Linked DNA regions of Tamandua tetradactyla. The protein of the gene in region 2 purifies or fractionates together with the protein of the main gene of each other region. This does not show direct contact. Links are inferred from orthologs where the notes say so. Each region holds a gene or a part of one and is shown on either strand. Other genes may lie near its edges.

What was found. Proteins that work in one complex are often made in the same cells at the same time.
Region 1: the proteins of RPP30 (region 2) and RPP40 purify together in Homo sapiens (affinity purification with mass spectrometry; 3 studies listed by BioGRID and IntAct, counting the BioPlex papers as one, with this or other methods). This does not show direct contact. The link is inferred for Tamandua tetradactyla from reciprocal best matches to the Homo sapiens genes RPP30 and RPP40.
Region 3: the proteins of RPP30 (region 2) and RPP25L purify together in Homo sapiens (co-immunoprecipitation; 3 studies listed by BioGRID and IntAct, counting the BioPlex papers as one, with this or other methods). This does not show direct contact. The link is inferred for Tamandua tetradactyla from reciprocal best matches to the Homo sapiens genes RPP30 and RPP25L.

Annotation. Positions count from the first base shown.
Region 1 is NC_135351.1:7,328,246-7,339,367, reverse strand, and holds the start of RPP40 (ribonuclease P protein subunit p40), read left to right. Parts: upstream 1-6,591; 5' UTR 6,592-6,670; coding exon 6,671-6,793; intron 6,794-7,023; exon of another isoform or gene 7,024-7,304; coding exon of another isoform or gene 7,305-7,412; intron 7,413-8,208; coding exon 8,209-8,353; intron 8,354-11,122. UniProt on the Homo sapiens protein: Component of ribonuclease P, a ribonucleoprotein complex that generates mature tRNA molecules by cleaving their 5'-ends. Also a component of the MRP ribonuclease complex, which cleaves pre-rRNA sequences.
Region 2 is NC_135339.1:54,518,769-54,529,946, forward strand, and holds the start of RPP30 (ribonuclease P protein subunit p30), read right to left. Parts: upstream 5,367-11,178; 5' UTR 5,342-5,366; coding exon 5,260-5,341; intron 2,559-5,259; coding exon 2,503-2,558; intron 2,197-2,502; coding exon 2,140-2,196; intron 1,690-2,139; coding exon 1,615-1,689; intron 1-1,614. UniProt on the Homo sapiens protein: Component of ribonuclease P, a ribonucleoprotein complex that generates mature tRNA molecules by cleaving their 5'-ends. Also a component of the MRP ribonuclease complex, which cleaves pre-rRNA sequences.
Region 3 is NC_135328.1:61,312,575-61,322,219, forward strand, and holds RPP25L (ribonuclease P protein subunit p25-like protein), read left to right. Parts: upstream 1-6,000; 5' UTR 6,001-6,073; intron 6,074-6,087; exon of another isoform or gene 6,088-6,387; intron 6,388-6,778; 5' UTR 6,779-6,812; coding exon 6,813-7,304; 3' UTR 7,305-7,614; downstream 7,615-9,645. Other genes in the region: DCTN3 (dynactin subunit 3), read left to right, coding at 3,942-4,001, 4,203-4,292. UniProt on the Homo sapiens protein: May be a component of ribonuclease P or MRP.

The DNA.
Region 1 (11,122 bases), on a different chromosome or scaffold from region 2:
CAATAATGGAAGTTTTCAAGATCTTAAAAGTATAACAGAAAAGAAATAAATATCAAAATGGCAGAAGTCCTGCATTATCAGTAGTTAATCCATGAAAATGAGCTAAATTCTCTAGTCAAAAGGCAGAGATTGACAGAATAGATTGAAAAACATAACCCAACTACATGTTGTTTACAAGATACACATGTTAAATTCTAAGACACAAATAAGTTGAAAGTGAAAGGAAGCAGAAAAAATGGCACAGAAATAGTAACCAGAAGAGAGTTGGGGTAAATACCAATATCAAACAAAATAGCCTTTGAGTCAAAAACTGTTATGAGGTAAAAAATATATATATAATGATAAAAGAGTCAATTCATTAGGAAGATATAACAATTACAAATATTTATGCACCTAATTACACAGCCCAAAAGTAAATGAAGCCAACACTGACAAAATAAATCACATGTAATGAATGCAGCCTTTACCACTTAATCAGAGGGATGTAAAAGGAGCATATGTGATAGGAGATATTATATTTAGGACAGTTGATTTAACATCTTTGACTCATAATTCCAATGTCTGACCTTCAATAGGGAAGTTTTCTGTCATTTTGTTTTGTTACTTTAACTGGGTCATCTTTTCCTGTTTCTTTATATGTACTGTGATTTTTTTGTTGAAATCTGTATACCTGAACATTTTGATGCATTAACTCTGTTAACTCTGGAAGTCAGATCAGGCATTCATAACTGTAAATTTCTCTTTGAGCAATGCCTTCACTGTATTCCATAAGTTCTGGTATGTTGTGTTTTTACTTTCATTTGTCTCAAGATACTTCCTAATTTCCTTTGTGATTTTTTTATTGGACCCATTGATTGTTTAATACTGTGTTGTTGAATTTCCACATATATGTGAATTTTTCCAGTTTTCCTTCTGTTATTAATGCCTAGCTTCATTCCATTGTGGTCAGAGAAGATACTTTGTGCAGTTTAAATATTTCAAAATTTACTGAGACTTATTTTGCAGCCTAACATGTTCTATACTGAAGAATGACAGTGCAGTTGGGAAGAATTTACATTTTGCTGTTATTGGGTAGCATGTTCTATATAGGTCTAGTAGATCTACTAGACTTATAGTGTTTAAGTCCTCCATTTCCTTACTGATCTTCTGTCTGGATGTTATCTGTTACTGAGAGTGGCATATTGCAGTCTCCAGCTATTATTGTAGAATCATCTATTTCTACCTCCAATCCAAAGTCTAAACAAACGAGCACTTATTAAACCATTCCTGTTATTATGCCTGTGGAAAAATACAATCTATTTTTTTTTTCCAAGTAGTAGACTTAAAATAAAATATTGGGAATATGATCTGTTGTAAGTTAGGAGCATATCCCTGAAAAAGAGATTTAGAAACATGATAGAGGAACATTCTGCTAAGCCCTAGCTCCATTCCCCCATACTAAACAAATATTTACCTAGCACTTTATATCTGTCAGACACTACCTATCTTAGGTAACTCATTATGAAGCAAAGTTGCAGCCTTCATGAAGCTTACATTCTAATAGAGGAAGGGGGGAGATAGCAAATACATAATTAAATAAGCATGCTGATTTCAAATCATGACAACTGTCTAAAGAAGCACATTTTTGGCAGAGAGGGGTGGGGCTACACAGTAGAGGCGGTGATAGAAATCTCTCAGAGGAGGTAACATCTGTACTGAGACCTAGAGAAAAACAAGGACAAAGACCCCGAGAAAAGGATAAGGGGTCTACCCTGCACATTTGAGGGGTCAGGAGCACTGTGGAGGAAAGATGGAATGGTAGATGAGGCCAGTGAGGTAGGCAGAGGCTGAGTTATCTAAGCTTTTATTCTATGACAATGTGAAGCCAATTGCAGGGTTTAAACAGGGGGCTGGTGTGATAAAAAGCATGTGGTAGCTTAGAGTTATGTACCCCAGAAAAACATTTTCTGACTTTTAATCCTTTCCTGTAGATGGACCCCATTGTAAACAGGAGTTTTGATGGGGTTACTTCATTTAAGTTGTGGCCCAAATGAATCAAGATGGGTCTTAATTCTATTACTGGAGTCCTTATAGAGATGGAGTCCTTATAGAGAAGGCCACAGAGAGAGAAGCCAGAAGGTGGAAGGCAACAGAGTCAGAAGGATAAAGGAAAAGACACTGTCACTTGCGTTGGCATGTGATAGAAAAGTCAAAGGACCCCAAAGATTGCCAGCCAGCCGAAAGATAATGATCTCCAACGGAAGCAAGCTTTCTAACCTCTAAAACCATAAGCCAATCCATTTGTTCTAGCAAGCAGAAAACTAAAACGTGTTCTCAAAAGACCACTATGATGCTGAGTCAACAGCATGAGGGGAAGCAGGGAGATGTGTTAGAGGCTGTGTTTAGCACTAGACCACTAAGAGATGAAAGTGGCTGAAGCTAGTTCTGGAAATGGACACAGGGAGAAGAGGTTGTAATCAAGATGAATTTTGCAGGAAGACCCAACAAGACCTGTTCTGTGGATTGTATGTGGGGTGATAAGGAAAGAAGAGTCAAGGATGGGTTCTGGGTGCGCGGTTCTGAGTGCACCTTCTTAGGGGAGAGAATGAAGCACCCTCGGGTTTTATCAACATATGGACAGTTTTCAAGGTTGTGAGATTGTGTGGCATCACTCTGAGAACAGAGGTAGACAGAAGAGAAAAAAGGGCTGAGATATCCAGAGATCTGGTGGAGGAGGAAGGGCAGAAGGAAGAAGAGTGGAGGAAGTGGAGGGTAGCCAGGAGAAAGGGGTCTCTTGAAATTCCAGAGCAGTGTTTCAAGAAGGAGGAAGTGGGACAACTGTATCATCTGCGTCAATGCAGCTGAAAGGTTGTCTGAGACAATAACAAAACTTGACCATGGATTTGGCAAATTGGAGGTAACTGATGACCTCAATAAAAACCATTTCAGTGAAGTAGTGAGGAGGAAAGTTCTAGTGGAATGTGTTCAGAGAGAAGGTGAGGGGAGGTAGCTTGAGAAACAGTATGGTAAATGGAAAGGAATTGGGAGTGCAAGGAGGTCTGTTTCATTTAATGCACAACATGCAGATGGAAATGATCTAGTAAGGAAGGAGAAACGAACAATATTAGCAAGGGATCATATAGACACAGAACTATAGAACTCAGGGGACATAGCCTGAAAGGACTCCTCAGCCCCAAATATACTTAAGTGTACAGTTTTATCTTTAAAATAAATGGGACTTTTGCCTTCTCTTTCAGAATGCAGGCACAACCCACAAAACACATTCCCAATATTCCTGGACGAGTGTTTAGTGCCAAGCAGATATTTATCTCCCAATATATTATTCAGTTGATGCTTGTATAGATAAAACTTAAGAGAATATTTAAAATTAAATGGTTTGCTGGGAAAGTTTCATGTTGCATTCCAAATACAATTGGTAGAACATTCAAATCATGCTAGTCAATTTGCAAAGATTTGGAGACTCAAGAGAGAAGACATACCTCTCTGATGTTGCTGGTATAAATGAGGCCTGGCAACTGCACACAAAGCAACTGCTTATTAAAAAAACATAACGTGTTTTAGTTTGCACAAGCTGCTGGAATGCAATATGCCAGAAAAGCAATGGTTTTTAAAAAAGGAATTTATTAAGTTGAAAGTTTACAGTCTAAAGCCATAGAAATGTCTAAACAAAGGCATCCAGAAAAAGATACCCTAACTTCATTGAAAGAACAGATGAAGTTCAGGGTTTCTCCCTCAGCTAGGAAAGCACATGGTGATGTCTGCTAACTTTTTCTACTGGCTTCTTCATGCAGCTTCCCTGGGGAAAGTTTTCTTTATGCATCTCTGCCAGCACTAAAGCCTTTTCCAAAATGGTTTCCTCTTAAAAGGCTTCAGTGAGCAACCCCAGCTTGAATGGATGCAGACACATCTCCATGGAAACCACCTAAGCAAAATTTACCACCTACAATTGGGTGGACCACATGTCCATGGAAACAATAAAAAGGATCCCTCCCAGCAATACTGAATGAGGATTAAAGAACAATGGCTTTTCTGGGGTACACAATAGTTTCAAATCAGCACATAAGGCAATGAGGAAGCAATGCTTTAAACATTTCCTATCCTGACACGATATTATTTATAACATATCGTGGTGCCACACATGATTTGGGAAATTGGTTGGGGATTTTCATTGATTTGTTAGGCCTTACAATTTTTCCTACTTTAAGCAATGGGATATAGGTTCTCCTTGCCATTTTCTCTGGGAAAGTCTGATTTTTCAGGCACAGAGTACTGACCTTAATGGCAGATGACTTTCCAGGCTTGTCTTAGTTCTAACTTATTAATTACTCAGCTTGCCATTACTTAACATCTTTTCTTTCATCCCTTGTAGTAAAATGAATACTCTTGGAAGATGCACCACAGATATTGTTTTGCAAAGAATCTGGGCTGTGCACACTGCAGCTTGAGCAATATGTAGTAGCTGTAGTCATGTAGAACTTGGAGTTAATTAGAAAAATGAAATGGAGAATGGCAGAATTATCAGTGTAATCATCAATAGTTACACATTATTAGAAGTGTTTAGAAAGAGTAGGATAAAACTCTGAGACATACTGCAAGAGGGAAATGCAGGATGGGCTTGTTATCATATATACTTCAAACTACAGTGGGTGTTCCTAACATTTTTGAAAGGATCAACAGAAACTCTTGACCCTGTTCATGTGTTATTTATAGCTAAGAGATACACAACAGGATAATGAGGTGTGAGCCATACTGTGCCAGAAATGTGGCATGAGTGTGGTCACCCAAACAGGTTTGGAGGCCAATTAACTGTGCAGTGTTTCCTCAATTGTACAATTCAGTTGGACTTCCACTTTGAGTTCCCCACATTTTTTATGATAGTGGCACTGAGTAGCCTACCTAAGCAGGCCTGACCAGGGCATGAGTTTTTCTGTCAGCCTATCTCAGCCTGCAGCCAGCCAGATGTCCCAGACGTACATGGAAGGGATTTGTGTCCAGAGACATCAACCCAGAGGGATGGAGGAAAAAGTTGCTTATAATAGACAAGCTCCAATTCCCCAGTACAAGTATTTCCATTTAAGGCAGTGAATTTATGGTTCCAGAAACCCACCAGGGTGATTATGCATGGCTTCTTAAGAAACCTAAGGAACTTCCAGAAAGATCCCAGGTACTTTGGGCAGTAAAGAAAAAAGTATTTGCAAAGTCCCTTGAGACAGTGGAGGAAAAATGTTAGATTTCCCCATCTGGGGAATTCCTGATATTCTCTTAAGCATTAAGGGGTCCCAATTCAATAAGCCAAGCCCTTGATTTTGAGGCTTGCCCTTATGAAACTTATTTCTGTAATGGTAAGCTACGCCTACTTATAAACACACCCAAGAGTCACCCCAAGAGAACCTCTTTTGTTGCTCAGATGTGGCCTTTCTAAGTCAAACTCTGCAAATAAACTCACTACCCTCCCTGCTAATGGGACATGACTCCCAGGGGTATAAATCTCCCTGGCTAAATGGAACATGACTCTCAAGAATGAGCCTGGCTCTGGCATCATCGGATTGACAATGTCTTCTTGACCAAAAGGGGAAAAGAAAAAATAAAGTTTCAGTGTCTAAGAGATTTCAAATAGAGTTGAGAGGTCATGCTGGAGGTTAGTGTTACGCAAGCTTCAGCCAGTTATTGCAAATTGCCACAGTAGGCCAAGCCCCAACCAACAGTATGCCTGAAAACTCTAAAGAATACCCTAGGCTCTAAATTCCTTTTTTTTTTTCAGAATCTTAAAGCCCGCAGATAGTTTTTATGCTAGACAAGCCCTGAAATCCATAGCTACCAGTCTCTCTAAGAACATCAACCATTTCATTCCTCTATCCCGCAATGTCAACACTCCTTTTCAGCATGAAGAAGTTGGAATGGCCATTTCCAGATATTCCTGAAGATTGAGAGAACTATCAAATGAGAGGGAGGCATTGTAACCGAGAAAGGATTTAACAAATGATTATGACTACTAAGTCATTATGTAGCCATTTCTTTTTAGTTTCTAGTACATTAAAATAGCCAGAAGGAAATACCTGAAATTGTTAAATTGTAATCAGTAGCCTTGATCTTTGATGTCCCTATGACTACATAGCTTTTAGCTTATGACCATGTGAGTGCAAAAACCTTGTCACTGACACCCCCTTTATCCAGTGTAATGGTTGATGAGTAATAACACATGAAAAAAATAATAGGTTGCAAATATGTGGAAAAATACCTCTACATAAGCTATGGACAATAGTTAATATTACTTAAATCTCGCATCAATTCTAACAAATGTAACTACTGCAAAAAAAAAAAGCAATTACAAAAAAGCAGTATCATCAATTTCCAAACCAATACAAATGAAGTGGTGTATGAGAATCCTGTATTTTATACGTGATTACTCTGTAAACCCACAACGCTTTTAATTAAAGGGAAGGGGGGGAGGAGGGGACGGGAAGAGGCAGAAGAGCAGGGAGGGGAGGGAACCTAAGGAACACGTAGAAAGGTCCCAGGTACTTAGGCACTCAAGCTGCACCCACCCACAAGCTCTGCTCGCCACGTGCGCCGAGAGACCGCACTGCGCATGCCCGAGGAGGCGGGGCGGCGGGGTGGGGCGGTCCGACGACTCAGGCTAGTTAAGAGCCGTTCCGGAATCGCGGAGAGGATGGCCACCCTGCGCGGGATTCGAGAGGTGCCCCGGCACTTGCTGGTCTGCGAGAAATCCAACTTCCGCCACGAAAAGTCACGCCACCGGCACCTCGTGGAGACGCATTACCACAATTACAGGGTGAGTCGCTGACCCGGGCCTTCGGAATCCCCTCTCGATCTCCGTGGGCGGTGTGGTGGAGAGGCCACCGCGCTGGGCTGGGCGGTCCTGGGCGGGGCCGTCCTCGCGGTGCAGGCTGGGAGCCGTCGTTCCGTCGTCTCCTCGGAACCGCGTCTCGCTTGTCTGTGAAGACTACTACTCCCACGATGCCTTGGGCGTGGGGGGCGGGGCCGAGGAGCAGTGCGCGGCCTCACCCTCCCGCTCGTTGCTCAGGTCCCCACCGGCCCACGTGGAGTTGTGTTCCCCGAGATGCGAGGCGGTGGCCCGGGCGCCGGGGTAGGAGGGCGTGGTGTCGGCCGGGTGCCTCTGGTGCCCTTGCTTCATACCCCCGCCGCCGGAACGCTTATGGCTCTTTCCAGAACGTTGTGGCCAGCTCGGGCCCAGAAAGCAGCCTCTTTTTTTATCCGGGAGTCGGATTGAGATCCCAGAAACTTTCCGTTTAGCCTGCTGCGCTCTGCTTCCTCTAGCTAACATGTCATCCTCTCGGGGCGCCGTGAGGCATCAGGGAGGTGAATTATTGGCTTGTCCAGAATGTGCGGAGAGTAGAGGAGAGCGACCCAGATTTCCAAGCGAGTGTCTGGTGGGTCCTTTTCCACTAACCCGATGAAGCGGAGAGGCGGCCAAAAAGTCCACCAACCGTTAAAGAGGATAACGGTTTAAATATTTTACAGTTTAAATCGATCAATTTAATCTCTAGTGAGGCCTGACTGACCACTCAGAGACCTGAGTGGTGGCGCCCGGAACTGACTGGCGTTAGAGCTTTGGGAAAGAGCCTTTCAGCTTGTGGAGCGCTTGGGTGATGTTTGAAATCTGTCGAGTTTTAACATCCTCTCCTTTGGATGGAAAGAGCATCACAAACAGTATTGAGGGCGTGAATCCTAACACATAGGGTCTAATCTGTTGGCTTTTTCTGTTTGTGGAAAATCGAAACATGGAGGGACGCTTTACTTCCATGTAATCTTGATCATTGGACGGCCCCAAATCCTTATACCTTGAGGGTCATTGCCTTTGATTCCAGGATGCTATCAGGGTAAACAAATCAAGGAATGTGCAATTGTCCTGTATTTCCTCAAAAACGAATTAAAGTAATGAAAGGAACAGGACATAAAATACTTTGCAAAAGTTAAAATGCAAGCCATACCTTCGCGTTAAAAATTCTCTGCTCTGTCTCAATCCTATACTGTATGTTTGAATGCAGAAACAAAAACCCTGAATTGTCAAATATCTTTTTTTTCCCCTGAAATTGGTGATTTAAGAGTTTCATGCCCAGAAACCTATAAATGAGTAGTTAGCTTTCATGATGCAGTTTTTTTCCTTAAGAACCTGGGCATGACTGCATGAAAATAAGACCTTGTTTATATTATACTTTCTAATAGGTTTCATTTCTAATTCCTGAATGTGGGATACTATCAAAAGAACTTAAAAACCTGGTCATGGAAACTGGACCTTATTACTCTGTGAAGAATTTACCTCTTTATGAATTAATTACACATGAATTTATCAGCACCTTTGTAAAGAAAGGTAAGAAAACTATGCAGTGTTTGTGAACTTGGCAAAATGGAAACTACAGGTAGACCATGCCACAGTACTTGGGTTCTTCTCTTGTTTAATTCAGGCCCCTGGTGAAAGTGTATATAGCCAGATGCAGACATGACCCTACCCCCACCCCTGTATTTTCATCCTTTTGGAGAAGTTGTGGGTGTACAGAACAAATCATGCATTAAAAAAGCAATTCCCATATACCATCCTACTACTAACGCCTTGCCTTGGTGTGGTGTATTTGTTACAATTGATGGAAGCACATTTTTGTAATTGTACTATTAAGCTATAGTCAGTATTTTAATGTAAGGTTCACTGTGTAGTGCTATTTCATGGATTTTTAAAAAAATTTTTATTACTGTATTTACTACCTACTATTTCCCCTTTTAGCCACATTCAAGTATGTGTTTTGGTGCTGTTAATTATATTCACAGCATTGTGCTACCATCACCACCATCCATGACCCAAGTATTGCCATCATTTTAAGCCTTAACTCCTGTGGTGGTTTGAAGTTGTATGAATCCCAGAAAAACATGTTCTTAAATCTAATCCATTCCTTTGGGTATAAATCCATTGTAACTAGGACCTTTCGATGAGGTTACTTCAGTAAAAGCGTGACCCATCTCAATTCGAATACGTCTTGAATCCTATTACTGGAGTTCTTATAAATGGAATGAATTCATACATAAGAGAGAAAGGCATGGAAGCAAAAAGCTGAAGTCAGTGCAGCCTAAGAGAAGGGAGAGACCAGGAGACACTGCCATGTACCTTGCCACATGATGAGCTAAGGACCAACAGCCAGTGACAGCCAGGCCCAGAGTGCCACAGTGTTGGGGAGAAGGCATCACCTTGATGATGCCTTCATTTGAACATTTTCCTGGCCTCAGAACCATAAGCTAATAAATTCCCATTGTTTAAGCTGTCATTTCATGGTATTTGCTTAAGCAGCCTAGAAAACTAAAACAACTCCCTGTTCCCATCCCTGCCCTGACCTCTAGTAAACCTATAATGTAAATTCTGACTGTGATCACTTATTTCATATCAGTGGGATTATACAATATTTGTTCTTTTGTGTCTGGCTCATTTCACTCAACATCATGTCTTCAGGGTTCAACCATGTTGTCATATGTGTCAGGACTTCATTCTTTTTTATGATGTTCAGTTGTGTGTATATACCACATTTTGTTTATACATTCATCGGTTGATTGACACTTGGGTTGCTTCTGTGTGTGGCAATTATGAATAATGCTGCTATGAACATCAGTGTGAAAATATCTGTTTGAATCCCTTCTTTCCTCGCACTCTTGTGTCTTCTTAAGGTGGTGGGTTTTTTTGTTGTTGTTTTTTGAGCTACATCTGTCCACAAGTGTTGATGCAGATGTTATAACATGAAGGTATCGGGCCTCTTAAAACAAGGATCATTGGAGAAGGAAAGTCTTTTATTCTCACAGATCTGTTCAGACACGCTGCTCTTGGGGATGTGGCTAGAAAGACTGCTGTGCTTTCAGCAGGCCCTACCACAGCTGCTGTGGTTGGAAGGTTGGTCTCCTGGTGTGATCACAGCTGCTCTGCACAGAGCGAAGAGTTCCTTGTGAATGAGAATCTTCACTTAAAATGTTTATGGTTCTCACCTTCTGCTGCTTACTCCATTCCTAGTCATATCTCCTGGGTTGATTGATCTGTTCTGGTTGTTTCCTGGGCCCTGGTTCTGCCATTTGTTTGAAACTGTATTTCAGGGTGTCCCTAGGGTTTCTACCCTCACTATGTGAGTAATGCCAGTTCAGCTCCCAGTGTAGTAGCCAGTTACTTGTCTTATTGTTAACCCCTATGTTATCTCTCCAGGGGAGCTGTAATGAGTTCTAATTAGATGGCAGTGGTAGCTGCTGTCATTCTGAGCTGCAGGCATCTTTGGTCTCACAGACAAATCTAATCAATTTAACCTTCCCAACTACTGTGCAGAGTAAGCCTTATGATCCCCATTTGACAGGTGAGGAATCTGAAGCTTGGAGAGGTTGAGTAGCTTTCTTAACTTCACACAAGTTCCTGATAGATTTTGAGTCTTAACTTAGAATTCTGCCTCTAAAGTGTATATACTTAACTGATATTCTACCTTATGCTTCCCTCCCACTGTGCCCAATTGTATACAGTCCATTCTGAGTCCATTTTCTCTTGATAGTGAGTTTGCTCATACAGATCCTTGGCGGAGGAAAATGAACTAGCTGGAGCTTGGCCTTCCATGTCCCTCTTGACAGGTTTTAGGTTATTGAGTGAGCTACATCAGTAGCATACTGTTTTCCTTTCCTGGCTGCTAAAACAAATACCATACACTGGATTGTGTTAAACAGTGGGATTTATGGCTCACAATTTCTGAGGCTAGATGTCTTGCTTCCTCCTGGGGTTGGTATCTTCTGGTTGGTGGGTAGTCTTTAGGGTTCCTTGGCCTTTCCTCACGTGACAATGCACATGGCAGTGTCTTTTCCTTTCTCTTTTCTGGTCTGTGACTTCCAGCTTCTGGCTGCTCCCTTGGCTTCTCCTTCCATGCCTAATTTCCTGTACTTATAAGGACCTCAGTCATATTGGATGAAGGCCCACTGTCATTCAGTTTGGGCACACCTTAACTAATAACATCTTCGAAGATCCTGTATATAAATGGGCTTATACCCACAGGACCAGTAGTTGGAACCTAAACACGCCTTTTGTGGGTGACACAGTTCAATCCCCAATATACACATTGACCATTAATCACCTGGA
Region 2 (11,178 bases):
GCTGTAGAAAAAATCACCTCTTTCTCTAGCAGCCTCTGGGGGGGCACCATTAGCTCATAGCTGAGTCTTTCCAAGATTTCTTTAATTACTCCTGTTCTATGATAAAGGTATCCATTCTAGCTAAAGATAAAATAGCCACCTATACTCTGAAAAGTGTATCTGCTCACTTTCTCTCTACCCCATTGGGTCCTTACCATAAGCAGGCATACATATTCAAGTCTTGCCCACCTAAATTACTATACAGCAGGTTCTCCACCAACCACCCTACTCTCTCATCTGTGGAATCAAATTTCTCAGCAAGGTCAGAAGCATACACTAGCTGCATTTTTTAATTTTTGCTAAGGCCACTGATGACTTCCCTGTCCAAGAGACATTTTTTTAGCCCTTCTCAATCACTCAAGCACATTTGAGGCTGTTCACCTCTCTCCTCTTCCCTTCTCACCTTCGTGTTTTCACTCCTACTTCTCAGCAGTCCCTGCTCATCTCCAGTCCTACCTCATCCTTCTCTACTCCACCAATAAGTGCTAACATTCCTTGAGACTCTTTCCCTTACTCTTCTCATGTCATACCTTGACCAGTCTTTTCTACTTCCAAGATTTCAATTACTCTCTACAGAATGACCACTTATAAATCAGTAGCTGTAATTGGGATCACGCTTCTAAGGGCCCCACCTTCATTTCCAACGGCCTATTTGAAGGCTCCACTGGAATTCACAATAATTCATCACATCCCAAATACAATGCCCCCAAAACTGCTGCTCTGTGTGCCCTTTCTCTGGATAAGGTACCATTATTTACCTACCTGGTGGTTCAGTCAACACCTCCATCCAATCAATCACCAAATCCCGACAATCCTCCCTACTGGATGACTCTCAAAATTCCTCCTTAAATCTCTGATCCTTTTTTCTATAGTGCAAATCTCATCATTTTACTCTCTTGGTTAAAACCATCAGGGGCTTCCCACTGAACCTGGAATCCTCACCCATACTTCTCTAACCTCACTTCAGGCTAGCCAGCTCACTAGGCTCAGCCCAATTGGCCCTGTTTTACATCCCAGAACATACCACGATCCTTTCGACTTCAGGACCCTTGCACAATCCATCCTCTGTGTGAGAACACTACCTCTCCAACTTGTCACCCATGTAACAATGGTTCTTCAGGCCTCAGCTTGAATATCAACTTCCTCAAGAAGAATATCAAGATGGCCACCTTGTTACACACTCCCACAGCATCTTTTATTTACCAACCCCCCTTCTAAACCTTACTTACATTTGTCATTATTATTTGCTCAGTGCTTTTCTTGCCAATTAAGTTGTGAGCTTCATAAGTTCAAAGGTCATATATACTATTCATAGTATCATGCTCAGCATTCAGCCTTATGCCTGGTACATGTGAACTGAATGAACAGGATTTGCCAAAGGATTCTTTGATCATGGTATCACTATACAGGTACGATGAGTAGAACTAAGAGAAATCTGAGGATGGGGGAGGAGTCAGTATTATGGGAAGGGGTGGGGAAGATGTCAGTATGGTGTGAGATGAAAAGCTACACTGTTCAACATTAATCAATAAAACTTGCAGGACCAAAAAGAGAGAAGGAAAAAAATGAACTTACCAAAACCTTGCAGTGAGATGGATCCGAAACAATAATTGTCAGTCTAGTTAAAATTTTAATTGGTCTTGATTTTCCCTATAAGTAAAAGTGGACCATCAAAAGCAGCTCAAAATACCACTGGTTGGCTTTCCTCTTTATCATCACAAAGTATTCATTACAAAGTATCAGCTATAAGGGACACTGAAGATCAAAAAAACAAATAAACCCAACCCCCAAAACAGAAAACAAAAGCAAAACTAACTAGTCATTGTCATCAAGGAATTTATATATAACTACAGAAGCAGAGATGCACATACATTAAACCATAACAGAGATAACCTGAAAGTTGTTTAATTTCAAGGGATAAGATCCCAAAGAAGTACCAGGGATGATAAGAGAATACTTCACAGAAGAGCTGAGATTTGATGGAAAAGTAAGGTAGCTAGGCAAAGGAAGGTACAATCCAGATTACAGAAAGCACACATAATTGGGTATGTCTAAATTAAATGAACAGGAATTATGCTTTGTTCACACTAAAACACTTACCTGTACAATTGGCAAAGTTGTGAAGAGTTCAGAAACAGCTACTGGTTTTTCAATTTCCTACAAAAAAATAGAAAGGACTAAATATCGTGATTACAAATTCAGTCAATAGGCACCTTTAAAATGGTAATCAAAGTGACTTATTTAATGTTGAATCAACTTTAAGAATCCTTACAGCACGCAGTTCTTCACAAAAATATTTATCATTTGCACAGTAAGCATCAATTCACAACTGTTAACATACAAGAGAATACTGCACACAGAGAGTGCATTTAAGAAGTATGTTCATTTGTAGCATCCATATTACCAATATAAACACAAGTAACTATAAACATTGGTTTATTAAGCTCAGAAATTGTATTTTACCTGTTTCTTTTCCTTAAAGTCAACAACATGATTGATGGCAACAACTGAATAGCCAACTGAAAAAAAAAAATTAAAGATTCTTGTTAAACATAACTCCTTTCTGTACATACAGGCCCATCCTGTTTTAGCAGAGTGATGTGCAGACTCTGGTCTCAGATTGTCTAGTTTCAAATCCAAGTGCTACCACTTAGAATTATTTAACTGTAAGTTTCAATTCTTCATCTGTCAAATGGAGATGGCAGGACTTAGGTCATACAACTTTCATGAGAATTAAATGAGCTAACACATTTGAGGTACTTTAGAAGAGGTCTAGCTTTATATGATTAGCAAGATACTAAAGACTCTCTATTTTGTGCTTCTCCTTTCCAACCATCATTCTCTTTCATTCCCCTTTGTTCATTTTCATTCTATTAATACTTTTTCTCTCTCACCTATCTTTTCACTCATTTCTTTTGCTTCTGATCCTATATCCTTCAAAAGCCTCTCTCCTAAAGAGAAATGAAGTACTAACTTCCTCACACCACCATCTACTTCCCATTTGAGCTGCCCACCATCAAAAGATTTTCTTGAGGCCAGGCGCTTACTTTATCATTCTCATCCAATTGACACCGTTCTGAACATCCGGCTACCAAACATATGTCTAAATTATGACTTCTATTTTTAAGGCACTTAAACCTTAATGGGGATGATGGCACAAATATTAAAAGATAATGCCTATTAATGAAAAATAGGGGTCTTCTCTCTCACCAGTCTGTCTACACTCCTGCCTTCTTTCCTTCCTCCCTCCCTCCACTTCTTCCCTTCCTTCTTCCTTCTCTTCCTCCTTCAGATGTTTACTGAGCATCCACCACCTGCCAGGCCCCCTGCTAGGTGCTGAGCGCACAGGGTAAATAAAACAATACAATCCTCACCCTCAAGAAGCTTACACTCTATTGGGGGAAATAAGGCAATTAAACAAGGAGCTGCAAAAAAAAAAAAAAAAAAAAAGCATTTTGTTAATGAAAGTAAAGATTCTATAGGAATCCAGCATACAGCAAAATGAAGCCAGGTGTAGGGGGTCAGAAAAAGGCCCAGGAAGAAAATGATCTTTAAAAGTAAACACCTGAGGGGAAGAGAAATTTGTCATACTTTGGCCTCTACTTTCTCCCAGTTAGTCAAATCAACCTGCTCCACTTCTTAACTATTCTTCTCTACTCACTCCAAAGTCTACTCTAACCTCTTGTACCCCACTTGGATATCCTTTATATTGTTGGCCACCAAATAATATCCCTACTGCCCTTCAGAAATCTCAACTAGATTCTGTTTCTTCAGAAAACTTTTTCTACTTATCTGGTAACTTAGGAATACTTCCCTAAGTAGTCTTTAGCATAATTATTATTTAGATAGCATATCTCTGAAGTTAATCACTAGTTTCTTATCACATCGCAAACTAAAAACAGGGACTCTGTTTTCTACATTCTTTGAAAATTTTCCACCCATCAAATAACAGTGCTTTGCCTTCTGACTTATATAAGGTGTGGTAACTTTCTGTTTTATGTCATGAATTCTGCTTAATTTTAAAGAAACAGATTGACTAACAATGTCAATACTTTACCATATATCCTTCAAACATATTTTTAATTCAAGTAACTTGTTAAACAAACCATTTTAATTTTTCTTTTCTGTATTTATCTCTAAAAAATGTTCAGTCTTTTATTCCATAAGCATTAACTGAGAACCTGCCATGAGCCAGTGCTGCTGAGTAACTGTTGTGCCCAGGAAATATATTGAAGAATAAGACTATGGCCCCTCTCTGAAGAAGCTCATGGTGTAGTCAGTAAGAGGCTGCATCAGGAAAGAAAGACTTGAGTTGAGCTACATTCAAGTAAAGAATCATCAAAGAATATAAGTGTTAAAAGACCCATATCATCATGCACAATCCCTTTTTCTACTGATGAGGAAAGCAGACCCCAGGCCGACATTACTAGACTGTGTTGCAAAGGAAAGAAAAATGATTTAAGGATGCCTCATGGGGGTGTGGGGGGTGACGGGGAAGGCAAGAAGAAACGCGGTGATTCTTTTTGCCAGGGAGTGAATTTATCCAGCACCATTTCTGAGAAGTATCAGTTATCAATTCTCACAACAAGCTGAGAACTTTCTCTGAGGGAAAGGTCTTAATGAAGGAATCTCTATCTTCTAAGTTCTCTATCCCCTCACTTTACAGTCTAAGAAGTTAGAAGCCATGCTTAGCCCCAATAATTAGTCCTCATCACTCAGGACCTTCGCTTCTCTTCAATTCAAATATTTGCAACACTTCCACCTTTTGGTTGTGCTGCCTAGTGTGTCCCCCTCCTCTACCTAACCCCCCTTCTAAATAAATAACATTATTCAAACACACGCACCTCTATATTCTCCCCCTTCTCTGAGCCCCCAAGCACTCTACGTACTCGATTCCCGCATTTGCTCAGACATTGTCGTGAGAGGCAGGGAGGAGTGATGTTCAAAGCACTAGCTTGGGAAACTGAACATTTGGAGTCTAGCCCTAACTTCGGCCATCCCTTTCAGCCGTGAGGACCTAAACAAATCTCTAGTCCCCTCTAGGCCAAGGGTTCCCCAACCTGCAGAATAAAAGGAGCTGAACTAGTGACATTCTTCCCTAGTTCCTTAGTGTTCCACGGGTCTGGGATCAGAATAAGACCGCGGCGGGCATCAACTTCTTGGGACCTTCCAGAAACCCTGGAAGACCTGAAGGAGGCCTGGGAAACTCGGGAGACTCACGGTGAGCGGCGTTCTCTATCACCCCCCGCAGAGCCTTCAAGTCGGAACCCGCTCGAACATCCAAATCTGCAAACACCGCCATGCTGCAGTCACATGACAGCGCGCGTGCGCCCATCTGCGCAGTCGCCGGACCGCCCCTGAGCATGCTGGGAATTGTAGTTTGCCTGCGGCATCCGTCCGTCCCTCCCTCCAGTGGAATATTTGCTGGAGTTGGATATTTGAATATAGGGAGTCCCGGAGACTTTCGTCCGCCTGTAAATACGAGGAAAACTTAGGATATCAAAATCAACAGCCCCACTTAATCCTTTTGTCTTTCGAATGAAAATGTGTGATTTCCCCATAGAGAGGTTCGAATCCCCCATGATTCTCCCTTTAAAATAATGTAGAAAATGATTCATTCGAAATGCATTTACTGAGCGTCTTCCGTGACTTTTTTTTTTTTTTTTTTTTTTTGCTATCCTTTTTGCTAAGGGCTGGAAGCGCTATTTAAAGAGTCAGAAAGAACTTGTTTTTCTTACAATTCCCCCTACCAATCCAATCGTTCAAAACGTGCTTAACGTGATGGGGTGGAGGACGAGGGTACGGAGCTGGATCCTAACGCATCTGAAAAGGGTTGCCCGAGCAAAGGGCAATTTATTGTCCGATCTGAAAGGATCGCGTTGATGCTCTTTGCTCGTTGTTGCAGTAGTCAACATCTTCAACCAAGAGGTGGCAGGGCTCCCTTGGTTGAGCGCTGAGCGACACAGGGTTGATAAGGAAGGTGCAAAATTGAAGTGTTTCACAATTCTCCATCTGAGAAATGTACAAAGTGCTGTATGTCCACACATTTGATGTTTCCATATTTTGGACTTTACAATTCTCCATCTGAGAAATGTACAAAGGGCTGTATGTTCACACATTTGATGTTTCCATATTTTGGACTTCGTATAGATAAGCTTTTGACCACATCTCAATTGCTCTATGCTCTGTTGAATGAGTCCACTGATCAGGCGTATGGATGTTTGGATAATACCAGAGTGCTGGTAAAGTTTTCTAAACATTTTTGATTTCTGTACTTACCGTCAAAATTAGTGGTCCATAGCCATATTTTATGTAGTACTTCTTTATGTGACTTCCTTGTTGGACTCAGAGTTTTATGAAGAATCTGTTCCCTGTAGTAGAATGCAATTCTTCTCTTAGTTAAATTTTGTAAAGAAGGAATATTTCGTCTTTTGCAATACTTGATATTTTCCTACGTGAGAACTGAAGGAAATACTACGTTTGCAAATAGAACAAAGTCATGAGAAGCAAACCGTTTGTTTTGCGTCAGAAAATAGTGTTGATTTTGCGGGATCCTACAGACAGTTTCGCCTATGACCACAAACTCTAGATTGGTCAGAAACATGAATGTGTGGTGAAGGTAAATAACATAATTTAATTGTCATCTAAATGGCAGCATTGGGACTAAAGAGGGCCTTTTCCTTTGAAAGTCACCATGCTGCTGCTGTAGACTGTACCCCTGGAATTTTTTTTCTCCTCTGCACCCTAAGCCTAGGTAAAAAGGGAGAGAAAGTGTGAGAAAGAAAAAGAATAAATAACAAGTCACTGAGCCCTTTACTGAGGATTAGGTGATTAAATAGATAGCCACATATGAATATCTTATTTAATTCTCAAAGCAACTGTGTGAGTTAAGTACTATTTTTGTCAACACCAGTGTTTCACATCTGAGGAATCAAAGCTTAGGGAAACTGGTAGAAACAGATGTGGATGTAGATTTAGATGGGATTTGCTCAATTCTCAGTGGAATGGGGAGAGTGGAGAAGAGAAGGGAATGAAGAGGACAAGGAAAGGCTGGAGGGGAGAAGTGAGAGAGGAAAGGGAAAGCAAGGCAGGAGAGAGAAGGAAAGGAAAGAGGTAGAATAGGGGAGGGAAGAGTGGGAAAAAGGAAATGATGGGATGGGATAGGAGAGGAGCAGTGAAGGAGGCTGGTGAAAAGTTGGCCTAGAAGGGTGGCTGAAGCAGCAAGGATCTGGAGCTTAAAGAAGACTCTGGAAATTTCTGGTCAGAAAATAATATTGAAAGTGGGAAAATGAAAGACAGGGAGAAGGTTTGTATGTTTCCAAAAATTAACATTAAAGCATGTTTGATTGAGAAGATAAAGAGTAGCCCTACCTCTTTAACATGAAAAGTGTACTGGAACAAAATAGGCAACTTTAGAAGCCATTTTGAAAGAAATTAAGGAAGGATTATAACTGATATATGGAAAAGATGCATTATGATAAACTTAATGAATGGAAATAAAGAGAACCAAAATGTCAATAGGATTTGTTTTTAAATAAAGATTGCTGTCTTGAAATTGTTGCATATTAAGTGAAAAATAACTGCCCAGGCAACTGAAACTTTTTACAGAAGGCATGCTTACAAGTAATATTTATTGAAAGCAACAGGAAGATCAGGCCCTAAATAGAAACTAGCATTTTCAAATGCAATAACGAAAAATCCTATTGCTCAGAATGTTGGATAAATGGCTTACAACTTGCAGGATAATTTCATGAAAAACTGAATTATTTTTGGTATTTTCCATTGCAGCTGATAAGAGAATAAATATATAAAAGCTATCTGTGTTAAGAATTTTGACGTGACTAAAAATCTTTAGAGATGGTGGCCAAGAAAGGCACAACATTAGGAGACAGTGTGTTTTCGTGGACGGTTAAAAGTCTTGAGGATTTTAGAGTAGACTGGTCAGAATTGATAAGTATGACTATAGATGGGACTCCTGCAGGTGTCAATCAGTGTTAACATAACTTATGAAACATAAGCTTAATGTGGCAATATTTCATCAGGGCACAGAACTTAATCCAATCTAGTATAAATTGTCCAGAAAATTCCTAGAGCTGTTGTAGCAAAGTTCCACAGATTGGTGGCTTAAAACAACAGAAATTTAGTCTCAGTTCTGATGGCTGGTAGTCCAAAGTCAAGATGACCTCAGGGCTATGGTCCCTTTGAAACTTGTAGGGAAGAATTCTTCCTTAGCTCTTCCTACTCTGATGTTTGGTAGCAATCCTTGGAATTTCTTGCTTGCAGCTGTGGCATTTCAATTTCTGCTTCCATTCTTTATCTGTGTGTCTGTGTCTACATTTCCCTGTTCTCATGAGCACACCAGTTATTTTGAATTTAGGGTCCATCCTAATCCAGTGCGACCTCCTTTTAGCTAATTATATCTGCAAGACCCTATTTCTAAATAAGGTCACAATCTGAAGTTTCGGATGGACATAATTCCTTTTTTGGGGGGAACATTATTCAATCCAGCACATCTCCCAAATGGATCCCACTGTTCTCATTAGTAGACCTATATTACAAAAAAATTGTAATGAGATGCCACTGCTGTATTTTGAATTTTCTAAAAAAACCTTGTAGAAATTTGTTTTCTTTCTTGACATTTATATGGCTACACAATAGCCTTTGTTTTGCATCTTGGCCGACAATACCTAACATACTTACTGTCTGGCCCTTTACAGAAAGAGTTTGCTGATCCCTGCCCTAAGTCACTGCTTAACAACAGTGTTCTAACAACACTCTGTCTCAGTTTGCCAGAGCTGCTGTCACAAATACCATGAAGCGGTTTTGGCTTAACAACAGGAATTTATTGGCTTATGGTTTTGAGGCTAGAAGAAGTTCCAAATCAAGATGTTGGCAAGACTTGCTTTTTTGCTGAACCCTATACATTCTGGTTCTGACTTCTGGCAGTCCTTGGGGTTCCTTGGCGTGTATCCCTGCCTCCCATCAAATGGAGATGTGCTTTTTTCTGTTGGCACTTCCTGTTTCTGCTGACTTCTGGCTTCTCCCTGTGGCGCTCTCTAATCCTGCATCTGATTTCTTCTCTTTATAAGGCCTCCTATGTGGATTGAGATCAACCCCGATTCAGTTGGGCCACACCTTAACTAAAAATATTTCTTAAGGGTCCTATTTGCAATAGTTTCATACTCACAGGAATGCAGATTAAGCACATGTCTGAATTGGGGTACCTAATTCAATCCACTAAGCCCTCTATTCCACCTCCCATTTTACCCCTGGGGAGCATTTGGAAATTTGTGTGGGTATTTTTTTGCCTGTCACACTAATTGGGAGGTGGACTGGGTGATATAAGGTGGGAAAGTCTTGTGCAATGAACATATATCCCTTGTTCTACACGAATTTTGAATGTCTTAACAGACATTCATATGGAGGGAAACCTGTTTATGATTATGTGAATATGGAAACTAACTTGGTTTTACATATAAACACAATTTTTTCCCACAATTTTAATAAGCACAGAATTTTCCAGGAATGCAACTAATGGGTAAATAGAGGGAAGACTGTGCTTTATTTGGAATTTTTTATAAGGGTTGTTCCCTATTTCAGAATATCATGTCATCATAGCAACAGTATGCACACTGTTTAGGTTAACAATGCAGCATACTTATATGGTGTGTGTGTATATATATATATATATATATATATACATATATACACACATATATATATATACACCCACACACAGACACGTTCCCATACACATAAACACACACATATATAATCATCTAATATATCTTACCTAATATATGCTATGTAAGTAAATATATAAATAATAATAAGTATATATATACATACTTAACTCTTATTCAAAATACTGCATATAAATTAGAGGTGCTGACAACATTCAATTAGTTATCTTGTCTTACATCTGAACACCTTTATTAGGAGTAGATACAAGTATCTATTTTATTATATTTTTGATCCAGTGGTGCCCAAACATTCACATACTTAAATGTATATTTATTTATTCTTTCCTTTTTTTTCTGAACTATATTACAACTTGGGAATTAAGTATATTTAAAATTATGTTTATAAACTAGGAAAGGAGCATTACAAAATATTTTATTTAAAAAGCCGATTTTGGATCTAATAAGTTGAGAATCATTGCCCTGAATAAAAATCCACTGTGCTTAGAATCTATCCCTTTTAAGAAATATTTCTATTTCTGCAAAATGATTTTTGGTTATGAAAATCAATAAAACTGAATATTGTTTCTATTTGGCACAATCAAGCCTGATTTCTTGGATTGCACACAGCAATACAGTAATAATAATACTGCGTTTGTCATTTTAGTTTAGAAAAATGCATCAAGTTTCCAGTTTCAATCAAGGAATACTGAATTATTTTTTAAAAATCAGCTAAATATTTCTACTTCTCAAGTTGTATATTTTCAATTTAATATATAGTTTACAGCATGGTTTTGCAGTCTCAGCACTATTAACGTTTTGGGCTAGATAATTATTTCTTTCTTGTAGGGGCTGCCTTGAGCACATGGGATGCTTTGCAGCACTCCAGGCTTCTACCCACCAAATTTCTACAACTGTGCAATGGAAAAAGTCTCCAGACCTTGCCAAATGTTTCCTAGGGCACAAAATCCCAGGCCAATAACATTTTAGTGCTCATGGTAGGTAATTGCAGAGGATAGGGATTGGTGAATGTTTTTTTGTTTGTTTGTCTTGGAAGAGAGGTTCAGAAAGCCCGTAGGATGGGGAAAATATCTTAAGATCATAGAAGAGATGTGAATTGGTTTTCCTTAGGTAATAGGCACTTTCAGGGAAGTGGGCAAACTTCTTTTGGGAAGGGATGATCGATGTACCTTTTGAGGCTAGGCCTTAGATCCTAGGTGTCCAGCAAAGTCAAGGTCTCCACACTACAGAAGGGCAGAGGAGACATAGCACTGCTTGGTGGGACCAAGATTCCAGGACTATTCTGTAGTCTGGGGGTGAGGGACAGGGCAGGGGAACCCATAATAATGACTGTAGTTGAGTTTCCCATCAGATAGATAGGTTGGGGGGTGGTCAGAGGTCATATTTAATTTGACTTTAGAAAAATTATGTGACACTTCTTGCACAGAGTAAAATTTAT
Region 3 (9,645 bases), on a different chromosome or scaffold from region 2:
AAACTCTGAAAACCTTCTTCAATCACTTTCCAGTCCTGGTCATTCTTTCTCCATCCCCTATCTTGTCCCATGGAGCAGGGGTGAATTAAATCCACCCAACTCTGCCATCTTCCTGCAATCCCAGTAATGTCTTTTTTTTTTTTCTTTTTTAACTTTTTTGTTGTATAGTATAACATATACACAAAACAAAGAAATAAAAAAGCAGTAGTTTTCAAAGCACTCTTCAACAAGTAGTTACAGGACAGATCCCAGAGTTTGTCATGGGCTACCACACAATCTTCTCAGATTTTTCCTTCTAGCTGCTCCAGAATATAGGAGGCTAGAAGGCTTAAATATTTTTTTATCACCACAATGAACTTTTTTTCTTTCTTTTTTTGTGAAAAATAACATACATACAAAAAAGCAATAAATTTCAAAGCACAGCACAATTAGTTGTAGAACATATTGCAGAGTTTGACATGGGTTACAGTTCCACAATTTTAAGTTTTTTACTTCTAGCTGCTCTAAGATACTGGAGACTAAAAGAATATCAATTTAATGATTCAGCAATCGTATTCATTTGTTAAATCCTATCTTCTCTGTATAAGTCCACCATCACCTTTGATCTTTCTATCCCTCTCTTTAGGAGTGTTTGGGCTTTGGCCATTCTAACTTTTTCATGTTGGAAGAGGCTGTCACTAATATGGGGTAGGGAGATGGAATTAGCTGATGTTCTGGAGAGGCTGGACCCTGTAGGTTTCAGGACTTTTCTGGTCCAGGGACCCATCTGGAGGTTGTAGGTTTCTGGAAAGTTACACCAGTGCATGGAACCCTTTTTGAAATCTTATATATTGCCCTAGGTGTTCTTTAGGATTGGCTGGAATGATCCTGGTTGGGGTTTGGCAGGTTATGATAGGTAGCAATGTCTAACTGAAGCTTGCGTAAGAGTAACATCCAGAGTATCCTCTCATCTCTATTTGAACTCTGTCTGCCACTGATACTTTATTAGTTACACTTCTTTTCCCACTTTTGGTCAGGATGGAATTGTTGATCCCACAGTGCCAGGGCCAGATTCATCCCTGGGAGTCATCTCCCACATTGACGGAGAGACTTTCACCCTTGGATGTCATGTCCCACATAGCGGGGAGGGCAATGATTTCATTTGCAGAGTTGGGCTTAGAGAGAGTAAGGCCACATCTGAGCAACAAAAGAGGTCCTCCACAAGTAACTCTTAGGCATACCTACAGGTAGGCTAAACTTTTCCACTACCTACATAAGCTTCACAAGAGTAAGCCTCAAGATCAAGGGCATGGCCTATTGATTTGGGTGTCCCTATAGTTTGACACGGTAGCAGGGGATTTCCTGCTGGTAAAGTTTAATAGTTGCATATTTTTGCTCACATTCCTCAAGGTACTTTGTCAATAGTTTTTGATGATCTGTTTAATATACTCTAGAATGTATCCAGGCATTACATTAAGCTATACAGGATTAAAGGACCTCTTTCTTATTCTGTGCTCCCTGTGTTTGACTTGTTCAAATGAGCTATACAGATAGGTTGAGTTAGATTATGTGCTACAGAAAATTTGGGTTCCAGACCAAATAAACCTTTCTTCCTTTGGTCTCAAAGAGTATTTGTGATTCTAAAATAAAAACACTTAATCCCAACCTGATTGGCTTCATTCTTATCTCTAAATATCAGGTTATTTATATCCAGTAAATTTATATCCAGTAAATATTTTTAAAAATATTTACTTGCTTCTTTGTATTGCCTTCTTTGATTCCCCTTTTCTTTCCTTATATCTATATTTAGTTATTTTCATAATGGTAAAATTGTCATTTCCATTAACTTCTTAACTAATAACCACCTAGTTTGACTAGTACTAACCTAGTCTCAGACATATATAAACTCTCTATTCCTATATATATTCATCGCTTCCCCTTTATATGTTATGCAGATTACATCTTTTTACACTGTGTGCCCATCAACCTAGATTTTAAATATTTTTTTTTACACATTTGACTGTTAAATCATATAGAGGAGGATAAAAGCACTTATAAACCAAAAGTACAATAATACAGGATTTTATATTAACCTAGGCAGTTACCTTAGGAATGTTCCTTATTTCTTCTTATGGCTTAGAGTTACTGTCTAGTGTCCTTTTATTTCAGACTGAAAGACTTCCTTTACAATTCTTGTAGGGCAGATCTTATGGTAATGAACACTTTTAGCTTTTGTTTATCTGTAAATGTCTTGATTTCTTCTTCATTTTTGAGGGATAATTTGCCGAATTTAGAGTTCTTAGTTGACAGTTTTTTTCTTTAAAGACTTTAAGTATGTCGTCTGGCCTCTATGGGTTCTTTTGTGGGGGATGGTGCATGGTCGAGAAATAGAACTCAGGTCTCCCACATGAAAGGCAAGCATTCTACCACCAAACCACCTGTGTACCCCCTCCATGGTTTCTGCTGAGAAATTCACTGTTTATCTTATTGGGGACCCCTTGTATGTGACAAGTTGCTTTTCTCTTGCTGCTTTTGAAATTCTCTTTTTGTCTTTGGATTTTGACAATTACACTGTAATTTTTCTTGGTGTAGAGCTCTTAAAGTTCATCCTGCTTGGAGTTTGTTGAGCTTCCTTGATGTGTATATTCATGTCTTTTATCAGATTTGGGAAGTTTTTGGCGATTATTTGTTCAAATACTTTTTCTGCCCCTTTCTCTCTCCCTTGTCCTTCTGACACTCTAAGGATGTATACGTTGGTATACTTGATATCACACAGATACCTCACGCTCTGTTCATTTTTCTTGATTATTTTTCCTTCCTGCTGTTCACACTGGACACTTTCAGTTGTCTTCTTTGCAAGTTTGCTGATCTTTTTTCTGCCTGTTCAAATCTGCTACTCAATCAGTCTACTGAGTTTTTCATTTCCATTACTGTACTTTGTAGCTCCAAAATTTGTTTGCTTCCTTTTTATAATTTTCATTTCTTTATTTTGTCAGACATTTTCATAATTTCCTTTAGTTCTTTGTATATGGATTCCTTTTATTCATTGAACATGTTTAAGACCGTTGATTTAAAGTCTGTGACTAGTCATTCTAATGTATGAGCTTCCTCATTATGGTTTCTTACAAATTTTTTTTCCTGTGAATGGGCCATACTTTCATCTTTCTTTGTAATTTTTATTGAGAACTAGACATGCTGAGAATTATGTTTTTTAACTCTAGAAATCTAGTTCTCCCACTCCTCTGTGATTGCTAGGTTTTTTGTTTGGTTTTGTTGTTGAGGGCTGGAACCATCAGTTTGTGACTTTTCCAAACTATTTTTGCTTCCAAATGAGGAATGGAAAAAGACAAGAGAAAAAAAAAAGATACTGCCTCTTTAAAAGCCCTCTGCTGCTTTTGCTTTGAGGAAGGATGGAACAATAGCTGTCTTCAAAGCCAGTTCCCCAGCAATCTGAAGTAGCTGATCCAAAGCAGTGAGCAGTGATCAAACCACCACCACCACCACCACCACCACCCCAGGCTTTGGAGGACTTAGTCCTTATATCCTTCATGGCACTATTAAGCTGCACCAGGAGCCTGGGCTTTAGTCCCCAGTACTGCCTGCCACATGATTGGGGGATGGGAGATAGTAGATACTGCATGGATGGTGAAAGTCACAGATATTTACCAGCTTCTTCCTCTGGCTGTTTCCTAAAATAATTGATTCAGATAGTTCCTGCCAGCTCAGTATTTGTTTTGGGCATGGGGGAGGCAGAGTGTTGGGAATGGTTATTGGTCTTTTTTACTACACCATCTTCGTATAATCCTCCCCATCCTTCTCTTCCCTTGGCAATTTGTTCCTTCATTCTGGGGTTAAGCATCACATTTTCTGGGCTGTATGGGGAGTGGGGGTCTCTGGTGAGCAGGAAGTAGGAGGTGGGGTTTTTGCCTAACTCCATTCTTTGCCCCTCCCTGGCCCCGCAGGACCAGTGTATGGAGATCACTGAGGAGTCCAAGGCTCTCCTGGAGGAATACAACAAGATTGTATCCTTTCTGCTCAACCAGGCCCCTAATGGGTTCTGTCCCCAAGCCCCATCCTTTTGTCCCACATCAATTCTCTCAGCCCTTCCCAACCAGCCTGTCTATTCCCCTGTTCCCCCACCCCACCCATTTTGGCTCACAAGAAGTCTCTCCAATCCCTCATTTAAATTCCTGTTCTTTTCACCTTGACTTGTGTGTGAACAGACAATGCTTCTCTCCAAGCAATTTGTGCAGTGGGATGAGTTGCTTTGCCAGCTAGAGGCTGCCAAGCAAGTGAAACCGGTGGAGGAATGATACTGCTCCCCATCCCAGGATGGCCAGGCTCCAAGGCCCTGTTCCAGCTGCCTCTGTAGCTGTGCAGAGGCAGCTTTCTATATTTATTGGACCTACAACCACCTGTTCACACTCAGGTGGGGCTCTGAGGCCAGAGATCAGGGGTTACCTGGGATTTGCAATTTGCACCACCCCCCAGTCAGTGCCCTCATTTCAGTGACAATAAACTATAAATACCAATGGGAGTGTGCTGGCTTTTGTTCTAGCATGGGGGTGGTGGAGCGCAGAGCTGACAACCAGCCTAGTGGTTGGACTGGGAACTACACTCATCTTGGTCTGTCTTTCAAGGAGGTGTGGAGCTCTCACAGTGGAGGCTCCCATTTGATTCTTATGAGTGGCACATTCTTTTATGCATCTATTTATCCTATGTCTAAGCACCAACTAAATGCCAGACCCCATACATGGTGGGAAGGAAGCAGGTAGAACCCATTTAGGGGAGAAGCCAGCCAAGGAAAAAAGCAGTCACACCAGATGGTCACAGGGTCGTTTGGTCCAAAAGAGGCTAATAGGGGAGGCAGGCCTGGTGGGTGATAGGCTATGATTTTGAGAGCCAAGGAAGCAGTATGTATAAAGGCAGAGAGGTGCCTTGAAGTTTCTTTCCTGGGAACCTACTTGGTGCTATTAGTTGAGAAGGGGAGCCCCAGAAGAGATGGAAGGTTTGGATATCGAGAGTTTTAGGTTCTGGGGAAAGGGAATTGGGAAGGAGATGGGGGAACGTGATGAGAAACAGCAGGGAGAGACTGAGCTCTGTACCAAACTCCAAAAAGTGTTTGCTGCCCCCTTGTGGTCTCAAAGAGTACTCTGGCTTCAGACCCCTTTCCAACTGCCTGCCTGCCACCCCACCTACGCGGGTTCATTAGCCTCAAATTCAGCCTGTCAAAACTGGTCTAAAACCTGAGAATCATCCTAGACTCTTCCTTCCTTCCTTCGTTTCTTCCTTCCTTCCTTCCTTCCTTCCTGTCTATCCAAACAGTCGCCAACTTTCTACTGAATACCTCTTCTGTATCTCCCAACCTAGTCTACTTCTCTTCATTTCCACTGCCATTTCTATTTCATTCATTCAACAAATCATTTAAAAAATAACGGAGCGTCTGGTTAGCCGCTGGCCACGGTAACAAGCTCCATGACACGGCCCCGGGACCCCGCGGCCAAAGGTTACCAGCGGTTGCGGCTCGATTTCCCCCACCAACCTCTTCTCTGTGGCTACAGTGAGCTGTGCACACGACCTGGTTCAACTGGCCCGTGTTGAAAACCCCTCCGTGGCTCGCCAGTTCCCACAGGATGAGGTTGAAATTCAGAACTCAGTAATCAAGTGTCTTGCCTGTGCAGCAGCAGCCACTTCCAACTAAACCTTTTGCTCCCTTTGCTATTGCCGTGTCCGTTAACTGCAGTTTTCCCATCTTCCAAAGGTTAATCCTCCCCATGCTTCAGACTCTGAACTCCTCTGAAGGCCGTCCCTTCTATCCACAAGGCTCTTTCCTCCTCACCGTCCCACCTGTGGGAGTGCCTCTGCCCAGGGCGTGGCAGCGGATACCTTGCGCCTGCACCCAGTCCCGGGCGTCCTAGCTCTGCTCAGTCTGGGTGTTCTGAATGGTTCTCAGTTGCCACTGCAGAGAGGCCGGGCGGGCCGCGTTGCCTCCGGCCCCGCCCCCGAGCGGCGTGCGCGGCCCCGCAATTTCGGCGCGCTCCCGGACCGCGCGCCATCTTAGCTCTGGACCCGGCGTGTGGGGCGCTGCGGCGCGGTGAGAGTTGGGACCTGGTGGGGTGGGGGGCGCCTGGACGTGGAGGTGGAGAGAAGGGAGGGCAGGCGGGTTTCTCAACGGCTGCGGCCCTCGGGGTACTGGGAGCGGCTTGGCGGCGAAGGACACTGTTGAGACCGGCCAGGCCACCGGTTGACGTCAAGAACACGCTAAGCAGCCGCCGGTGTCGAACCTCTGCTCCTTGAGTGACCTGAGCTGAGAGAGATCGACCCTGGGAATCTTGGGGTCGGGGATGTCCCGCCTTGTGCAGGGGAGCCCCGAGTGGAGAGGTCGGTTCTCTTCTTGGGGGGCCCTAGGTGAGGACTCTTGGCTCTGGCGTGCGGAGAGGGAACTTGACAAGGACGCGGGGGCCGGGCCCTGTGCCTAGGATCCCAGAATGAGGACACCAGTCCCAGGCTTAGGGAGCTTGGGATGTGGGTGCTTGATGCTATCTCAGGGGCTCCAGAATGGGGGCGGGGATGGGGACGGTATGGCTTTGTCCGGAGGAAAAGGGAACAGGAAGTATAGGGTACAGTCCATCCTAGAGTGAGGCAGACATGGTCCATGTCCTGAGATGCTGAGGATGAAGTAATATGGTCCTGTCTCCTGGAAGTCTAGGGTGAGGAGTAGGGCTGTGTCCTGGAGAGTCAGGGTGGGGGATGACCTGGGACACACTGCCTAGCACTCATATTTGATACTTCCCTGCAGTGTGCAGCAAGAGTCGCAGACGTGATCAAGCAGTATGGAGCACTACCGGAAAGCTGGCTCTGTGGAGCTCCCAGTGTCTTCCCCAATGCCTCAGCTACCTCCTGATACCTTGGAGATGCGGGTCCGAGATGGCAGCAAAATCCGCAACCTGCTGGGACTGGCACTGGGTCAGCTGGAAGGCGGCAGCACCCGGCATGTGGTGTTCTCAGGTTCTGGCCGAGCTGCAGGGAAGGCTGTCAGCTGCGCTGAGATTGTCAAGCGTCGGGTACCAGGCCTGCACCAGCTCACCAAGCTACTCTTCCTGCAGACTGAGGACAGTTGGGTCCCAGCCTCACCCAACACAGGCCTAGACCCCCTCACAGTGCGCCGCCACGTGCCTGCAGTGTGGGTACTGCTTAGCCGGGACCCTCTGGACCCCAATGAGTATGGCTACCAGCCCCCAGGGGCACCCCCTGGCCTGGGCTCCACACCCAGTTCCAGCTATGGCCCCCGACCCCGAAGAAGGGCTCGAGACACCCGATCCTGAGGACATGCTGAGCCAGGCTGTTTTCCAAGCCTCAGTTTCTGGGATGGCTGTGCCTTCTTCCAGAATCCTTTCCAGTTGCTCAACATCTCCAACAAGACTTGGATCCACAGAAGTGGCTTTGCTGTCCTTCCTCTGCCGCCTGAAATATGATAAGGGTTTGCTATAAAGAGTAACAGGTGTTAGGTCTGGATTCTGGATTACTTAAGAAGGGCCCATGCTGCTTTCCACCTATAGTGCCTCTGCTCTGCCTTTTGGACAGCGATCCAGGGAGTGAGTTAGGAAATAAAGGTTCTGCCCATTTGTCTGATGAGCCATTGCTCAGCCTGATGTGTGGAGGTGGAATTGGGGGAATGGATGCCCTTGCCTTCTGGGAGCTCATGGGCTGGAGACAGATATAATAGGCTCAGGCTTGTGTGGGGATGGTCTAGAATCTATGAGAAACTTAATAAGCCTGAATATATCTAGGCTTCTGGGTGACTGCCTGCCACCTGCTTTGGGTTGGTTTAGGGACTCTCCCTCAGGTCAGACACTTTTCTATCTGCGGACATATCTTATGGAACTTAGGCACCAGGCTGCTGGGATTTGAATCCTGGCTCAACCACTTAATTGTTTTGTGACCTTGGGCAAGTTACTGTTCTGAGCCTTAGTATTCTCTTCTGCAAAATGAGATTTAGTGCTTATCTCATAGAGTTTTTATTGTTTTTTTAAAAATGTTTTTGAGATATCTTCATATATGTACAATCCATCCAAAATATGTAGTGGGTTACAATATCATCACATAGTTGTGTATTCATCACGATGATCATTTTAAAAATATTTGCATCACAACAGAAAAAAAAATAAAAAGGAAAAGCCCATACATCCCATACCCCTTATCCCTCCCTCTCATTGACCACTAGTATTGCAATGTACCGCAATTTTTTTTTATCCCTTATACATCCCCCTCACATTTATTTTTTTGTCCCTTTTTTTTTTTACTCATCTCTCCATACTCTGGTAAAGGGAAGTGTCAACCACAAGGTTTTCACAATCACATAGTCACATTGTAAAAGCTATATAGTTGTACAGTCATCGAGAATCAAGGCTACTGGAACAGTAGTTCAACAGTTTCAGATATTTCCCCCCAGCCATTCCAATATACCACAGATTAAAAAGAGATATCTATATAACACATATGAATAGCCTCCAGGATAACCTCTTGACTCTGAAATCTCTCAGCCATTGAAATTTTATTTTGTCTCATTTCTCTCTTCCCCCTTTTGGTCAAGAAGGCTGTCTCAATTCCATGATACCGGGTTCTGGCTCATCTCCAGAAGTCATGTTCCATATTGCCAGTGAGATTTATACCTCTGGGAGCCTTTTCCAACAGAGGGGAGAGGGCAGTGATTTCACCTACTGAGTTGGCTTAGAGAGAGAGGGGCCACATCTGAGCAACAAAAGAGTTCTTGGCGGGTGACTTTTAGTTCTAATTATAAGTAGGCTTAGCTTCTTTGGAGGAATAAATTCCATAAGGGCATGCCCCAAGATGAAGGGCTTGGCCTGTTAATAGTCCCCACTGCTTGCAAGAATATCAGCAATTCTCCAGATAGGGAAGTTTAATATTTCCTCCTTTCTCCCCAGTTCCCTAAGGGGGCTTTGCAAATACTTTTTAATTCTCTGCCCAAATTACTCTGGGATGTATCAGGGTATCACACTAATCTGTACAAACCAGCAAGATCTCACACCCAATTCAGGATTCCCTGTAATTCCTCATAGGGTTTTTATGAGGATTAAATGAAGTAATATACACATTAGATACCACCTGAACACATGGTACCCTATAGATGTTAATTGCCATTATTAATGACTCAGTCTATAAACATACTTTTTCCTATCTTAAAACACTTCAATACACATCCCCCTCCGGGTCTGATTCTTGCCTTTCTGCCCCTTTTGGCTTCTTTGCTTCACTTTGGACTGAGACTCTCAGATCTATCATGGTGAGGCCAGCGGCACGATGAGAGAAGTAAAGGTTGCAACAGTAGCTGTGGGGCTACAGGGACCAGAGAAGGATTGTGGACAGTGGTGGACTCAGTGAAAAGTTGAATCAGTTGGGTCTCCCACTGGGTTTTGAGGTTTTCTACAGTGTATCTAGCAGCCTGGGTGTCCAGTTACCAGGAAAGCAGAAGGTTGGGGCTCTTGTGGGCTCACATTGTAGCAGATTAAAGCCCTTTTATTTGAGCATGTTAAAGTGGTATTTTGTGAGTCCAGCAAGGAGAGGTTGAGATGTTGAGAAAGGTGGAGGTGGGAACCTGACTGCTTTGGTAAGGGCTGAGAGCAGGAGTAAAAGGACCCTGACTGT